2 linked regions of the Drosophila melanogaster genome follow. The protein of the gene in region 2 purifies or fractionates together with the protein of the main gene of each other region. This does not show direct contact. Each region holds a gene or a part of one and is shown on either strand. Other genes may lie near its edges.

What was found.
Region 1: the proteins of jagn (region 2) and CG31729 purify together in Drosophila melanogaster (affinity purification with mass spectrometry, with the first as the bait; one large-scale study listed by BioGRID). This does not show direct contact.

Annotation. Positions count from the first base shown.
Region 1 is NT_033779.5:13,286,484-13,292,996, reverse strand, and holds the start of CG31729 (uncharacterized protein), read right to left. Parts: upstream 3,001-6,513; 5' UTR 2,311-3,000; coding exon 1,706-2,310; intron 1-1,705. Other genes in the region: Uvrag (UV-resistance associated gene), read right to left, coding at 3,707-3,821, 3,907-4,317, 4,370-4,692, 4,756-5,623, 5,684-6,057.
Region 2 is NT_033777.3:5,775,125-5,783,338, forward strand, and holds jagn (jagunal), read left to right. Parts: upstream 1-4,190; 5' UTR 4,191-4,303; coding exon 4,304-4,392; intron 4,393-4,675; coding exon 4,676-5,048; intron 5,049-5,110; coding exon 5,111-5,242; 3' UTR 5,243-6,184; downstream 6,185-8,214. Other genes in the region: kat-60L1 (katanin p60-like 1), read left to right, coding at 8,093-8,214. UniProt on the Drosophila melanogaster protein: Required for endoplasmic reticulum organization and proper vesicular traffic during vitellogenesis. Required for oocyte and bristle growth.

The DNA of each region.
Region 1 (6,513 bases), on a different chromosome or scaffold from region 2:
ACAAATAGATGTTCACATAAGGAAACGCTTTGTCAACATAGAAAATTTAGAAGTTTAAATAACCATATCAATCTGCAGATCTATGCTGCAATTATTTGAAGTTGGGCGGCAGAGAAACTTTCAATTTTTAACACAGAAAGCAGAGTCCGACCGAAAAAGTAAAACTAAAAACCCTAAAGCGACTCACTTCTTGTGTGCAACTCGTTTGTATTTTTTAGAAACCTTGAATACAAGATTGTGTTGTGTGGCCAAAACCAGCTGAGGAACTGGTTTTCGAATTTTTTAGCATTTCTTGGTGACTTCTTGAGTCGTTTTCGTTCATGTTTCTTATTTTCGTTCGCCCACCAATGGGGCTTAAAGTCGCACGGCAAACATCGATTAAAAATGCACAGCTAACGGGTGGTGTTGTGTGTGATATTTTTGGCCAAAGTTTTGCGGCAACAAGAGTTTGTACTCTAAAACAAAAACAAAACAAAATAATAAGAAAAACGCTCGCTTAGTGGGTGTGGAGCAAGGAAATGGCAAGGAAAGGCGGGGCATGGATGGCAATGTTTGCGTTTCGTTTATGCCTTGTCACCCAACCAAGTCGCTCGTCTTGGCCACTATTTATAGCCGTGTTTTTGTTATTATTTTCCATTCGTCGAAATCTTTTCCCCCAGTCTTGGAAGTCGTCACGTTTATCGATTTGCACAGTCCGTCGACGGCGCGCAGAAAACGAAATGTTTTTAATTTTCTTTCTACGATCCACTTACAGACGTGCTTGCTTGTTCGCATGTGCGGCCTTTCTCAAAAGTTCTCTCTAATTAGGTAAATTAAAAATATATCTTGGAATCGTTATATATATATGCTATACATATATGCTTTACATACAGTTGCATTCATTGTGTATGTCACACATGTGTGGCGCACAAATTCTCACACATTCAGCTAGAATTTATTTTCTTGGAAATGTGTTTCGTAAAAGTTCTAAGTTAAGAAGAACATCAAATTGCAAGACAACGCTGCTCATTTTGGGAAACCACACAATGATTTGGCTCATGCCAAAAAATAATAAACAAATATTTCAAGTGGCAGAAACAAAACAACAACTTGTTTGCCATAACAACTGTTGAGTTGCGAAAGTGATAGAATGTCTAGAACGTTACAGAGGTCAACGTTTTTTCTTGCCAAATATTTAATATACATTTCAATTATTTATAGAAGTTTACGATGAAAAACAGTTTTATACCTAGTGTTGTCAGCATTTTATGAGCAATGGTATTCTACGTTCAAAGTCAACTATCTACGGAAACACAGATTATAAAATTCCACAAAACTAATTTATTTCATAAGACATTTAAATTGAAGCGATAAGAGATAATATTTCTTCAAAAATATACAAATTTTCGAGGTCTTAATGTGATAGATTAAAACTTTTGCTTCCTGCTATAGTTATAATTTATTCAATACCTTGTGGTAAAAGTAAAAGGGTCTCAATCGCCATTAAACGCTTATGTGCGAAAATATAAAACATTTAACCATTTTCCCTAAAGGTAACACTTGAATTCCCAATATTTTGCTGGCCAGTGAACAGCTGTTGCGGCACTATATACTTTCGCATTACTCCCGCTGCCGCCAACTATTGCAGCAGTGAAATGGAAATATTGCGCATACGCAGCGTTGGCATTGGAGGGTAACGACTGGATCGCACCGAATGCACACTCACCTGCAGAGGCACAACTTGCAGACGTTGCCAATGCTGCGACTCTTGCTTTTACGCCGATTGTGCTGGTAGAAGACCGTGGATGAGCCATTTTCCGGATCTATGACGGTTGTGCTGTGCGTAGCGCCATTGCTGAGATCCCCCGTGGCAGCAGATCCTCCAGATGCCGCTACACTGCCATCGCCAGTGGTTACTTTAATGCCGGTGGCACTGCCACTCCCACCACCACCGCCACCGATCGATCCCGCCCCCGCGACGCCCGATGACGTGTGCGTTAATTGCGCCAGTTTCGAAATGCTGCTGTAGCTACCGTTTGAGTGTTTGGCGCGCTCGCGACTCCGCTCATTTCTATAACGTATCTGGCCGGCGGCAGAGCCAAAACTGTTGGATCCGAAAAGATTGCCCAGAAAGCTGCCTCCGCCGCCGGCGGCAGAGCTGCCAGCGCCGGCGTCGACGCCGCTGTAGCCCATGGAGCTTTTGCGTCGCCCCCTAATGTTGTTGTTGTTCTGTTTACCGCTCGGTACATCGCGGCGTATGAGCAATTCGGTCTCCGAATCCGTTTCGCTCTCTTCGTCGAAATCTCGTAGCGGTACATTGCTCTCAGCCATTTTCAAAACAAGAGAGCTTAAAAGAGAGCAAGCGTAGTCAGCTTAAAGTAATAAGTTTTGATTAAAAGAGCTGTTCGAAAGAGTTTTGGCGCCTGAATTTAACTAATTAGCACCAGAAATGCAGTTTTACTCTCACTTTCAGATGATATTATCTCAGAAAAATTAAATGCTGGGTACTCAGTTAGTCTTATTGCCACGTTTCCATTGAGCAATTTTCAGGCGTGAACGACGGCTGCTCCTTATCACACCTGGAGTTTTATTCTTTTATTTTTTATTTGAGCGGTAAACAGGTAGGGTAAACACACTATATATACGCGTAAATCACAGGCATTCCCCGTCGTCCGCTTATCAGTGGCTACAGTTGCCGGCTACCAAATCGTCACCATAAATACCAATTGCCTACTATTGCTCAGCGTTTTAATTTAATTGATACGAATTCGATAAATAAAAGGCCAAGGCCCGGGCCACACACACATATGCACATGCACTTCATTTAGCACGTTGGTTTGCAGGCTTTTCGCGTTTTCAATTATTAAATCGATTATCGCACTACGTTTGGACGTTGTTTGGGTATTTGACAACACATTTTTTATTTATTAATAGCCCGGATGTAGCCCGAAAAACATTCAAATCCCGGAAGCAAGTTGCCAGCGAAATAATTTTGGCGAAATGCTAATCAGCTGGCTTTACAGACCACTGTTAACGGAACGGAACGTTTTGCAGCACTGACCAAGCAGTGGCTGTAATATTTTGAGTTTATTAAGGATTTAAAGCAAAACTTACATTTTAAATTATAAAGCAAAAGTTAATATAAGCAGATTGTACAATATTATGTAGTAACAGTAGCACATGGTATAATTTTTATAAGTTAAAGGAGCAATTTATCTTCATACTTTGCAACACTTTTTGGCGCCTAATTCAAACTATAATTAAAACTCATAAAAATACTTTTCAAACAGAATATACAAATAAACTAATTTTGGGGCTCAGCATTATTTCAGAACATATGAAGAAAGGCTTAGGTTTTCCGCATCGTAACCACTTCGTTTATTGTGACCTTGGATATTGTTCGACTTAATCTCTATCGACGTGTTTCTAATGTTTGTCATCCATATTAAATAAATATTTGTCATGTATAAAATATTTAATCTTTATTCGTAGCTTATATTAGCAAACAAACAATAAAAGGGAATTTACACAGAGATCTTAAACAACTAAAAATAATATTATCGCAATGGACTACCGTTCACATATACTTCACCATTGACTTTTATAATTTAAAAGTATACAATACGCGGCCAATACCAAGAAACCCGCTGAGGAGGAGCCGCTAAACAATGCTATCTTGGATATTGGATATAAACGCTGGAAATATAACACTTTTGGGTGCATTAGCTCAGCTGCGCTCAGTTTGCAGAGTTATGTTGGAGTCCGAATTGGAATAGTTATGCTCCAGTCGCGGGCGAAACTCATCCTCGCCATCTGAATAGGACCCCACCGAACGGCAAATGCTGCAAGAATATTACAATATATTATTATTAAATTTTATCCGGTAGTTTTTGTTTTTGGCTCTAAATATATGTATATATAGATTACCGTTGAGTTGACGCATAGCCTTCGATTGCCAGTGCCTCACTCACACCCGGCGGCAACAGCTGCTGGAGCAGTGCATCCTTGACCGCATTGACGCCAGTCGGCAGTGGCACATGATTCATGTCGACCGAAGAGTGCGATTGCGACAGGTGCGGCGCCGTCAACCCATTTGCCAAGCGTGCTTCTCCACAGCCAGCTCCAACTGCAGTTCCATCCCGTTCGTCGACCTCATCCCTTTGCGTTCGTTCGATGTAGCGAAGAGTGCTGAATAGCTCCAGCAGATTGCCAAAAGTGTTTCGCAGATCGCACTGGCCCGTGATGTCGAAGCACAGCTGCGAAACATTCTGGCGCAAAAGGTAGATGGCATACTTTGTTTGCTGCGACGGCAAAATGGAGCGTGTATACAGAGGAAATCTAAGATGGAACAATAAGATACCAAAAGGTAATATTTAGTCTGTGTGCTTACTCTCTTGTTGTGTACGTCAACTCTTTGATATCGTCCACTATCCTTGCTTTCGATGGCTCGTACAGAATACGGTTCCTCAGAGGTCGATCCATAATGATGGCTAACATCTGCACCAAATGGGCAACATAACCCAGTGCCGCACTCACTGCCAGCGGCGAGACGTTATCCAGAAGCTGTGCGTTTGCCGCCTGACGTGACTCGCTCGTGTATTGCTCCATGTGGGGGAAGGCGATGCCGCAGATACTAAATTGCCGACCGCCCACATTCTGGATGTTATAGATCTCCTGTAGCTCCAACACCAGTGTGGACATTCGGCGCTCCACCTTAAAAGGGTGAAAAGGTTTATTAATATACTTGTTTAATGTTATTTGATTCCGCAGCCCCACCTGCCGTTCTATTTGTCTTTTTTGATCGCGCTGTTCCAGATGTTGAGGTGCCAGGGTTCGTAGCTCCAGACGTTCTTTTTCCAGTCGATGTCGCTGGCTGTGGAGCTCCCATTGCTGTGCCTCCCGCTGTTCTCTCATCTCCTTCAGAAGTTGACGGGTGCGCTCGTTTCGTTGGCGAAACGTTTCCCGCTCCGCTTTAAGTAGCCGCTGTTGACTGCTTAGCGCTTCTATCCTTCTAGTTAGCTGCTGGGCATTATAAAGCGTGAGGGGCGCGATCTGCTGCTGCTCGGCGAGCAACACGCTCAGGGCGCGGCCCATGGAATGGTACTGATGGGCGGAGTAGTCGCCGGACAGCGATGTCGTGCGGGGCTTCAAGCGCAGCTCGTTCCTGGTCACACAGTGTACACTGAGGCGGGCTATTTCTCGGCAAACCTCGGCCATTTGACGCCGCTTCTGCTGATGCAAGCGTTGCAGACGTTGCAACGTGAGAAGCTTTTCGAGGTTGTTGCTTCGCCGAATCTCCTGCCGTTGGCACTTCAGCTGTGCATAGCGCATCGTACTCATTCGCAGCACGGGACTCGAACTACGACTAACGGCCGGCGAGTTTATGCCCTCATCCTGCGGCTCTTCTAGTTTCTCTTCCTCCGCATACTTTTGGTAGTGCAAATGCAGCTGCGACTGCAAGGCCTGCTCGCTTATCATCGACGGGGAGGCAAATTGCTCGCCATTCAATTGAAAGACCAAGCAATTTCGTCCGCACTGGGACAATGTGAGGGGAGACAGAGGTATAAGGCCGGAGAAGTAGACGCCCCAGCTGAACAGTAGTTCAGGAGGGCGTGGCAGCCTGCTGGGCGTTAACTGGGATCTTCTGGAAGTAAGTTGGTTGATGATAGCAGAGTTCTATTTGCAAGCAAAGTCTCCTATTTACCCGAAAACATCCTTATGTCTTTGCTCAACCTCAGGCGGTTGGCCATCTCTTCTTTCCGCCGAATAGTGCTTCCACACCTTGACACAGACACACTGCGCATTGGTTTTCCGCCAGGCCTCGTCGTCCGTACAAATCTCCGCCCACTTTTGCTGTTGGTGACGCTGCGGCAGCTTTTCGCTGGTGTAGAACGCTTCGCTAGCCTTGTCCGTGTGTAGTGTGTAGTAGAGGAGCACATCATCCGGATCATCTAGCTCCAGCGACTTCTCATGCGGCCAGGACTCAATATTGAATCCCTGAATTCTGTTAAGGTTCCGCAGTCGAAGTTGCTGGGTGGCTAGGGGCAGCCACTTGCGGCATCGCGGCCGTAGATTCATCGTAAAACGCCTTTCCGGGTGAGCTGCGGATTACGCGGAGCCCGTAGCCCAGATCATTGTACACTAAGACTACGTTTGTTATAGTTTTTCCACAGAAACTTTTAACAAAAAAAATGATTACCCGAACAGCTGTTTTTAGATGCATAAGTGCTGCAAAACACTGAAGGCAATAGTGGTGGGAAATGCGCCGTTCAACTTGTATTTTATTAATTTGGCTATTTTCATTTTATTAATTTACACATTATTTAATTTAAGAATAAATGAAAATTTTATCAATTTGAATTGATTAATAAAAATATAAAAAATATTTCGTTAATTACAAAACACGGGAAAAAATAAATTATTATTATATAGCTTTTTGCAATTTTTAGCTAAAATTGCAGCACAACTAAAGAATCTTTCAATGAGAATCTAGTGTTGAGAAGCGCGAAAAATGCCTTGTTCTGCTAGTTTATT
Region 2 (8,214 bases):
CGCGCTGATTGATAAGCGCCATCATCAGCATCATTACCGCCATTATCATCCGCTTCCACTCGTCCCAAATTGATATGCAAAGTGTAAGCAAAGTCCGTGTTACTAACACCTGGTCCCGAATCCCCCACCACCACTGCGCCCTCTTGGCAGGCGAATCACCTAGCTCGGGTTCCACCCTCCGCCACCCTCCACCTTCCATTCCGAACCGAAATTTAATTAACATTTTTAATTCCTCCACTTGGCGCGGCCAAAGAAAGCCCTTCCACCACTTTCCTTGGCGGAGGGGGGGGGGGTATATTATTAATAGATTCAGCTAAAAAAAAAACAGTCTAATTAGAAGCTTAGTCGTTCCACAAACGAGGATCTAATGTCTCTTTCCTGAGGAGAAAGTGAGTTTAAACACAAAATGGGTATTCAAATTTGAAATCAAATACTTAGCAATATACTTAGATGTTTTGAGAAATCAATTTAAAATCAATCAGTATATGGTAACTAATTTTATTAAAGCAGCATAAAAAGCCATGCATTTATGATATCACAAGATATAATTAAAATAGGCTTATGGTGTTTAACCTCATATCAAATGTATGTACACAATAAAATGAATATTCTTTCAAAAGTGTCACTTTAATTCGTTTTTATTTCCCATTCATTGCCTTTAGACCACCCAATTTCTCTCTCTTTACTCTTGGTATTCGATGTATGGATGTGCAGAAATCATTTTGAAATGGATCGTCTGTCCAATGAACCCGGTCTTTCCAGTGAGTGTGCCGTGCCCTGGTCAGTCCGCTCACTTAAAGCTGCAGTGTGGATGCCATTATATGGACGTCTTTCCCTACTCCCATGCAACTCTTTGCCTTCTTCCCATTGCCCCCGACTGTCTTCACTTCTCCCAACCGCTGACAAATTCGCTTGGGGCTACTCTGCTAAAATTCCATTGAGTCCCCATACAATCCCATACAGAAGCATAAGCACTGCCACTGCTACATCCACGATGACCGCGCAGTTTTGGGGGCTATTTGCATGGGGACACCTATTTTTAGCTAGACAGTGGAGCAATGACTCTTTTATGCCCCGCGAGTGCGAATATGCCATTGGTAGCAAGCCGAACTGATTTTGATCGTTCTTGTGCCCTATAAGGATCAGGATCATCCAATCTAGGTTTCTTTAATACTAAAGAGCTGTATGCTCCGTGGTGACCTGTGCCACCTACGAGTATAGCCTTAGTTTGTTCTGCCGGCCAAAAGGCCATTCCAACTACTGAAGAACATACATACTCGTACATGGATTTGAGACCACCGAGAGCTGCCCTTCAGAAACACACACACATTTGTGCGGCGGGTGTAACCATGCCCATAGGAGGCAATCGGTCTTGTGATAGGGAACACTTCCGACGACCTTGATCCGAGCACAATTTGGCCCCACTCATTAAGGCGATGTGCACAACGTACGCGAGTGTTTCAGATTAATTAAAGCAGTCGGGCCAAGCCAAACAGCGTCACCATCAGCCGAGAAATACCGACTGGCTGTCTGAGCCCCGCCACCCACGGCCATTGGTACCTAATCAGATATGTATGTATATCGATGCTACTGGGAATTTGACTGTGCCTGGGACTGTTGTTTCTACTGGGAAAGTGTCATGGCATGGGTGAAACACATTTAACGCCTCGAGCCATAAATTACGAGCCGTGCCAGCAGCAGTGCTGACAACATAAATCTGAATTAGTGGCAAGCGGGGCAGCAAGCAACAAACAAAACCGAGTATCGATCTCACGATCCGTGGTCACTTAATGCCGGTACCTCGTAAATGGTATTCATAACTCTCACCCGCTCCACCAGGGATTCGGCGCGGCGCGCGAAGGAGGCGCGTTTATCGGCAATGGACATGGTTGGACTGGGGCTCTGGATGCGGTTCAGGATCGGTGACTGGGACTGGGCTATCCGGAAGATACTGGGAACCGACAAGTCACGCGGGGGTGTAGGTATCACCGGGGAACGCAGCTGAAATGAAAAGAGGCAGAACTTTAAACAGGCTGTTATCTATCTAAGGCACACGATCGATATGGTTTTAAGTCTGTAATAACTAAGCAAATATCGCACGGCACACGCTAAGTCGAATCATATGCAAATACAGTGGACATCAACAAGACCCAATACCAATACCAAATACTAGTTGCTAGTGCAAGTACAATCTATGCAGGAGCCATCTTGCTAGCCGAATTCCTTTTATTTCTATTCTTAGGGTTAACCAATTGGTTTATAGTTCATATAGCATTATTTGCCAAAAAAAAAAAATATATATATATATAATGGCAACATTCGAGGTGGAGGTCCCGGCCCCAAAAGTCATGAAATCTGCCGCGTATGTGTTTTCATTTTTGGCGAAAACAAAGAAAGACTCGGCGATGAAATGCAATTAATATGCAAGTGCCACTCATTGTGATGGTACTATTCTGGTCTATTACCTTATGGACCGAATCGCAATTATGGCGCAACTTCAACTTTGGACTCGAAAGTGTCAGCCACCGAGCTCAGCATAAATATTCGAGCGGAAATTATCAACAACTGACATTAAAATCGGAGCGGGAAAGACGCGACTTTCGGCCGGAGACGATCGCATGCGATGAAAACGCGTCCAAGTCGGAGGAATACCGCCGTAGAACTGATGACACACCCGGGCCGAATGCTCGACTTTTGTAGCGTAGCGAGCATAAAGAGAGTGCGTTGAAATGGGAAATTCATTATTTTATTTTTAAACGTCGTCGCCCTCTCTATTTTCGCAGATTGGCTTTTCCTCGCTTGTTTCTTGTTTCGTGGCAGATTGATTTATGGATTTCGGTGCAACAGGTGCTGGCCAGTTGACAGAGCGCCGAAAGTCCGCCGGACACACCCACTGCTTCCAATCTGGAAAACTGATTGGGACACAAAGCTGCATCCAATTTGCATAATCCCATCAAAGAGCACTTGCACCCAATTATGATAATTTCGGCTTGACGCACTAGGCATTATTGGCTTCGAAAAATTGGAACTGCAGTTCAAATTCAAAAACAAGGTACGGAGAAACTAAAACAAGAGGGAACGCTACAGGCGAGTTCCCCGACTATTAGATACTCCTTTCTCTGCTAGTGAAAGTTCAAACATGAATTTCAACATTTTCTGACATAGCAATAAAACTAAATTAATCTCTCTTATATATGTAGTTCCTGAGATCTCGACGTGCATACGGACGGACATGGCCAGTTCGATTCGGCTAGTGTTCCTTACCAATATATGCTTTATTGGCTCGAAAAACACTTCCTTTCACCTGATACATATTCGTTGAAAAAGGAATCTAGAATACTTCTTTTTTAATCTACGAGTAATATTTTTCATCGCGACCCGTTCATTAATCATTAATCATTACTAAATCTTACTAGTTCTGCCATTTGGTCTATAAGACATATTGGAATTGGAATGCAATTCAATTCATTTTAGTCTAGCGTTTGTACTTTTAGTAGAAATAATTCTCATATGGATGGAAGATTTCAATCGGAGTATTAAAACCAGCCCTCATTTTCTAAAATCGTGCAAAAAAGATATGAAAATTAAAGTATTAAGTGCCATTAATGCCATTAAGAATAGGTTTGGTTTTATTTTTCACCAGCCCACTTTTCAGATTAGCAATGCTAAACTCTCAGCATTACCTTTAAAAAATCGTTCTCATTTGCGACTAGTTCGAATATCTATCTACATTCTGCCGAAACTAACTAGAGAAAAACTGAAGTTCTACGTATGTAAGTATAACACATTTATTCTACACAGCATTAGCGAGGTTACACACCTAGCGAAGTCATCCTCCCAATTAAAATTTCCCTAAGCGGAGCTAGTCACCACGACCACATTGCCACTTTATTAAAACTAATAACTGTTTAATAACTGTAATAGAATAAGTTAAAATAATTAAATAATATGACTAATCACGTGTTGCTAATACAGTTAAAAGGCTAATTATTTAATTTAATTAATGTTTTGTAAACAGTTTCCATGCAGATGTATTAATAGTTTCCATGGCAGACTTTCTGAAAATGAACATTCTAAAACTTAGCGGAATTTCCCCTCTCTTTCTAACGGTTATTTGCTATGCTTTCAAGCGAAAGTAATCGATGGTAGCGAGGAGCGTATCGATGTGCGCCAGTTTTTTGGTGGCAGCGATGGTATCGCACACACATCGATTCTAGTGCCAGCCCTATTTTTTGTGCAATTATTTATTAAAAATAAGCAACGACGTGAGCGAACGACACGACCCACGAACGAAGGCAACGAAATGGCAACGCGCGGCGGACCAATGGTCGCGGGCACCGATGGCAACGACTTCGAGTTCAGGCAGCGCGTAGCTGGCACATATCAAATTAGGTTAATAACACTTCGTGCTATCGCCAGCTCTCAGCTACACTCGAAATTATCTAATTACTGGGGCGCCTGTGGCAGTAGATCCACCTGCAGGCGGCACCTACTGCAGCCGAATCGCAGGTGGCGTCCAGCCAGGGCGGCGGAGCACCCTGGAGCTGCTGCACCCACCCACTTGCTGCTGTAGGGGGCGGGTGGGCAAAGTGCCAGCTGGGCAGCATGTGCGCCCCAATATGGGGCTCACCCACACAGATCCGCCACTGAACGACCACTTTCTCTGCTCTTTTAGCCTGCTGAACAAGTCCAGGTTGAAGTACTGCATCTTCTTTCACGCCCTGCTGTTCTTCGTGATGCTGGCCAAGCTGACGTCGGACATTCTGGACCACCTGGATATCTTTGTGCTGGAGATCGAGGAGCTGGAGGTCCCACCGCCCCTGTGGTGGGAGTACGTGTGGGCCGCGTCGTTGCTCACCTCCTTCCTGGGCCTTTCGGCCGCCAGGGGCAACAAGGTGCGCGAAATGCAGAAGTATATGGTGGCCATACTGCTATTCGCCATCCTGCCACTCTTCTACTGCTTCGCCTACTACTTCTCGGACGTGTGGGAGTTCGCCACGCTGGACAAGTCGGTGGAGCTGGACGAGACAGACATCTTTGTGTGGCGCGTAAGTGGCTGGGCCAGTTAATCCCTCAAGAGCCGCCCTACTAAACCTCGGTTTTTCTACAGGGTTATCCGTACGGCGTCTTCTGGTATGCCTTCTGCTTTGTGGGCTTCCAGGTGCACGGATTTACGCTGTACTTCGCCTACAACCTGGTCAAGGCCTGGAAGGCCAGAACTGCCACGCGCAAGTTCCAGTAATCTAAATACTCGCCAAACTAGTAAACGCCGGAATGCAGGGCTAGTTGTAAATAATTTGGAAACTTGAAACTAACTCAAAACACTAGTGCACAAAAGCGTAATGAAACTATGGTAAACTAAAGTTATGCAGCTGTTAAGGTATCGCACACTTAGTCATACAGGAAGGGAAACATATGGTCGAAACTGAGCGAAGCGTCGGCGGTAAGGTTATTGTTAGTTGAAAGTTAGTTGATACCGTTTTCAAATTGATTAAATAGACTCTTATCCATATACACATGTACACCTATACACATAGACATACATATATACACACATACGCAGCCTTGTGAGGTCAACTAAAGACAAGAAGCAACTGAAGCCACCAAATTTCCCCGAGTCGGAATAAAAACTGAAAACCAACCTAGAGATCACTTCATTTTTGCTCACTTACATTTCGACGTGCCTCGTGTTTGTTAGAAACGTTTTATATATATATTTACACATGAAAATATGCGTACATCAGTTTATGTTTGCGTCCACGGATGGTTACTTCCTCGCCTAGTTGATAATTAGTTCACTTTTCTACAAATTTCGAAACCGTTTCATTTTTGCCAGTACGTTAATTTTGAATTTTATTCATCGAACCGCACAGTGCCATGCTTTAAGGCGTCTGGCCGGGTGCTGAACGTTTGAGAACTGCCCCAAACTATTTACAACCTTCTGTCACTGTTTACACACTACTATAAATAAGGATTGAAATGCAATTTGAGTGTTAAAGCAAAGTTCTTCAATTTCTGATCGTCAATAATACTGTGTAATGACAGGCATGTCGCCAAACTAAACTGAGAATTGAATTTTAATGTAATGATGTTTTTTAAATCGTAATTTATTATTCGAATTTTTAAGTAGTTTTTTAAAAATCGATCAATAAAGATGCATATATATTTGTTCTTCTGAGTGGGTTAAACATAGCATTTTATTGCGGTTGATTTAAAACAAATTTTGATAAGTATACCTATTAAGTCACTTAATGTTTATATGCTCATCTACAATATTTATCATAACTTTAAAGAGGCAAATACAAGTTCTCAAGCTTTATTTCTTGAAAAACACCACCAAATAAGGACCTTCGCCCAAAGCAATACAATCCAACACAACCCCACAGGCCGTTGCAATGCGGCTGGCAGGCCGAATTGGCCACAACAATCCAGTTTTAGTGACCATTTGTGCATCGAGGCGAGTGGAGGAGCAACAGCAGGCGAGCATTGCGCAATTGTTTACAATTGGCGACGGAGAGCCAGGAAGCTGAGACAGAGAGAGAAAAAGCTGTGGCGGAGAGCCAAAGCTTTTCCGCAGCATCCTTTTCTCCCTGCTCCGCCCGCTCTCTTAATTTTCCATTTGTACATTGCCTGTGCGAAGAACGGATGCCGAATTTTCCAACACACCATTTCGGACCGAAGTAAACACGAAAACTAAGGAAAAAAAATTGTGAAAAATTCAAAATTACGAAATTACTCGCACTAAATTTAAATAATAAACGACTGGTGGAGCAAAATGCGGGTCGAGGAGGCGACCTATAGGCGCACCACGCGCGAGAAGATTGTGCTGCGAGGGAACACCACCATACGCACCGTGGACTCCACTTCCACATACCTGCCCGTGATGAGTCCTGCGGGGTGAGTGCTTCGCAACGGCAAAGGTCCAAAAGGGTGGGTGCCAGTTGGAGGCGCAAGGCGTGCCGAGACACTTGAGCGTTCCATGACTGTCGCCCCGCAATCGATTTTTATCTCGCGCTGCAGCTGATTTTTAGATACATATACAGATACTATATGTGTGTGCGCGCATCCGAAACGGCCTTCGCTTGTGGCTCACCTCCGGATTATCGGGTTCTGCCTACATGCACATTGAAATGTGGACGAACCACTTCAAGCCTCCTAATGGCGGTGCTCTCAAACGTATGCTATAGTTTCTGGGTCCTCGGGGGAGGCCAACTCAAGAACCGGCTTTCTTTGGCCGCATGCAAGCCTGCCATTAAATTACATTGCCGGCAGATTATTGGGAAACCACTGCCGTTTGAGTAAATAGTCGGGCATACGCGAGTGAGTGAACGCCTTGCTTTCCCCAGAAATCGATGAAATCTTGAGCCAGAAGCTAGCGTGCATTGACCACAGTCCAGCGCGTTGGGTAACCCGAGGAGTTGAGAGTGCTGTGGGCTTACATAGAAGCACGAATGTCCTTTAGACAATGAGGAAACTTCGATAAGCAACTAGACATTAGTAGAAATATTATATATTTCATTTATTTATATATTGTATATATTCTTTTTTTTACCTATCAATAGCTATATACAAGGAGCATATAAGCAGAACAAACATAAACCCATTAAACTGAAATCCATATATTTGAATTTCAATCAATATTTAGAAAGATGGCATTTCCTAGCTCCGATCGGCGATTTCTTTATTTTCCCCCAAGTCGAGATACTCTTTCCCCGTAATTTACCATGATTGAAACCGCCCCCCAAAGTAGCGCCCAAGCGAAACTTCCTTTAACCTCAATCCGCATTCACACGGACGCACACCAGGCAACTGGGAAAACTACCCGGTCCGGTCCGTTCCATACCGGAATGGTAGTGGTGGTCGGTTTGTTGTGGACGCGTCGTCCAGTCAAGCGGTCAGTTTCAGTTGGACTGCAACCCTCGAGTCGGCTGGTCGGGTCGCGTTTTCGAACTCCGAGTGCGAGCCAATCGAAGGCTCCAGGCGCAGACTGTCAGGTAGCAAAGTTTCCGCCCGAACATATCCGCGTGTGTTTTTAAATTAATAGTGAAGTGTCTGTGTCTCGTCCTAATCTGTGTGACGCCGGCACAGCGCCATGTTCAACACCAGTGCACAGAATTGGTTCGGCATGGGCCAGACAGCCGTGGATCCGAGCGGCGGAGTGGCCCAGTTGCTCAACAACAATTCGAGTCTCTACAATCAGCAGCAGCAGCAGGC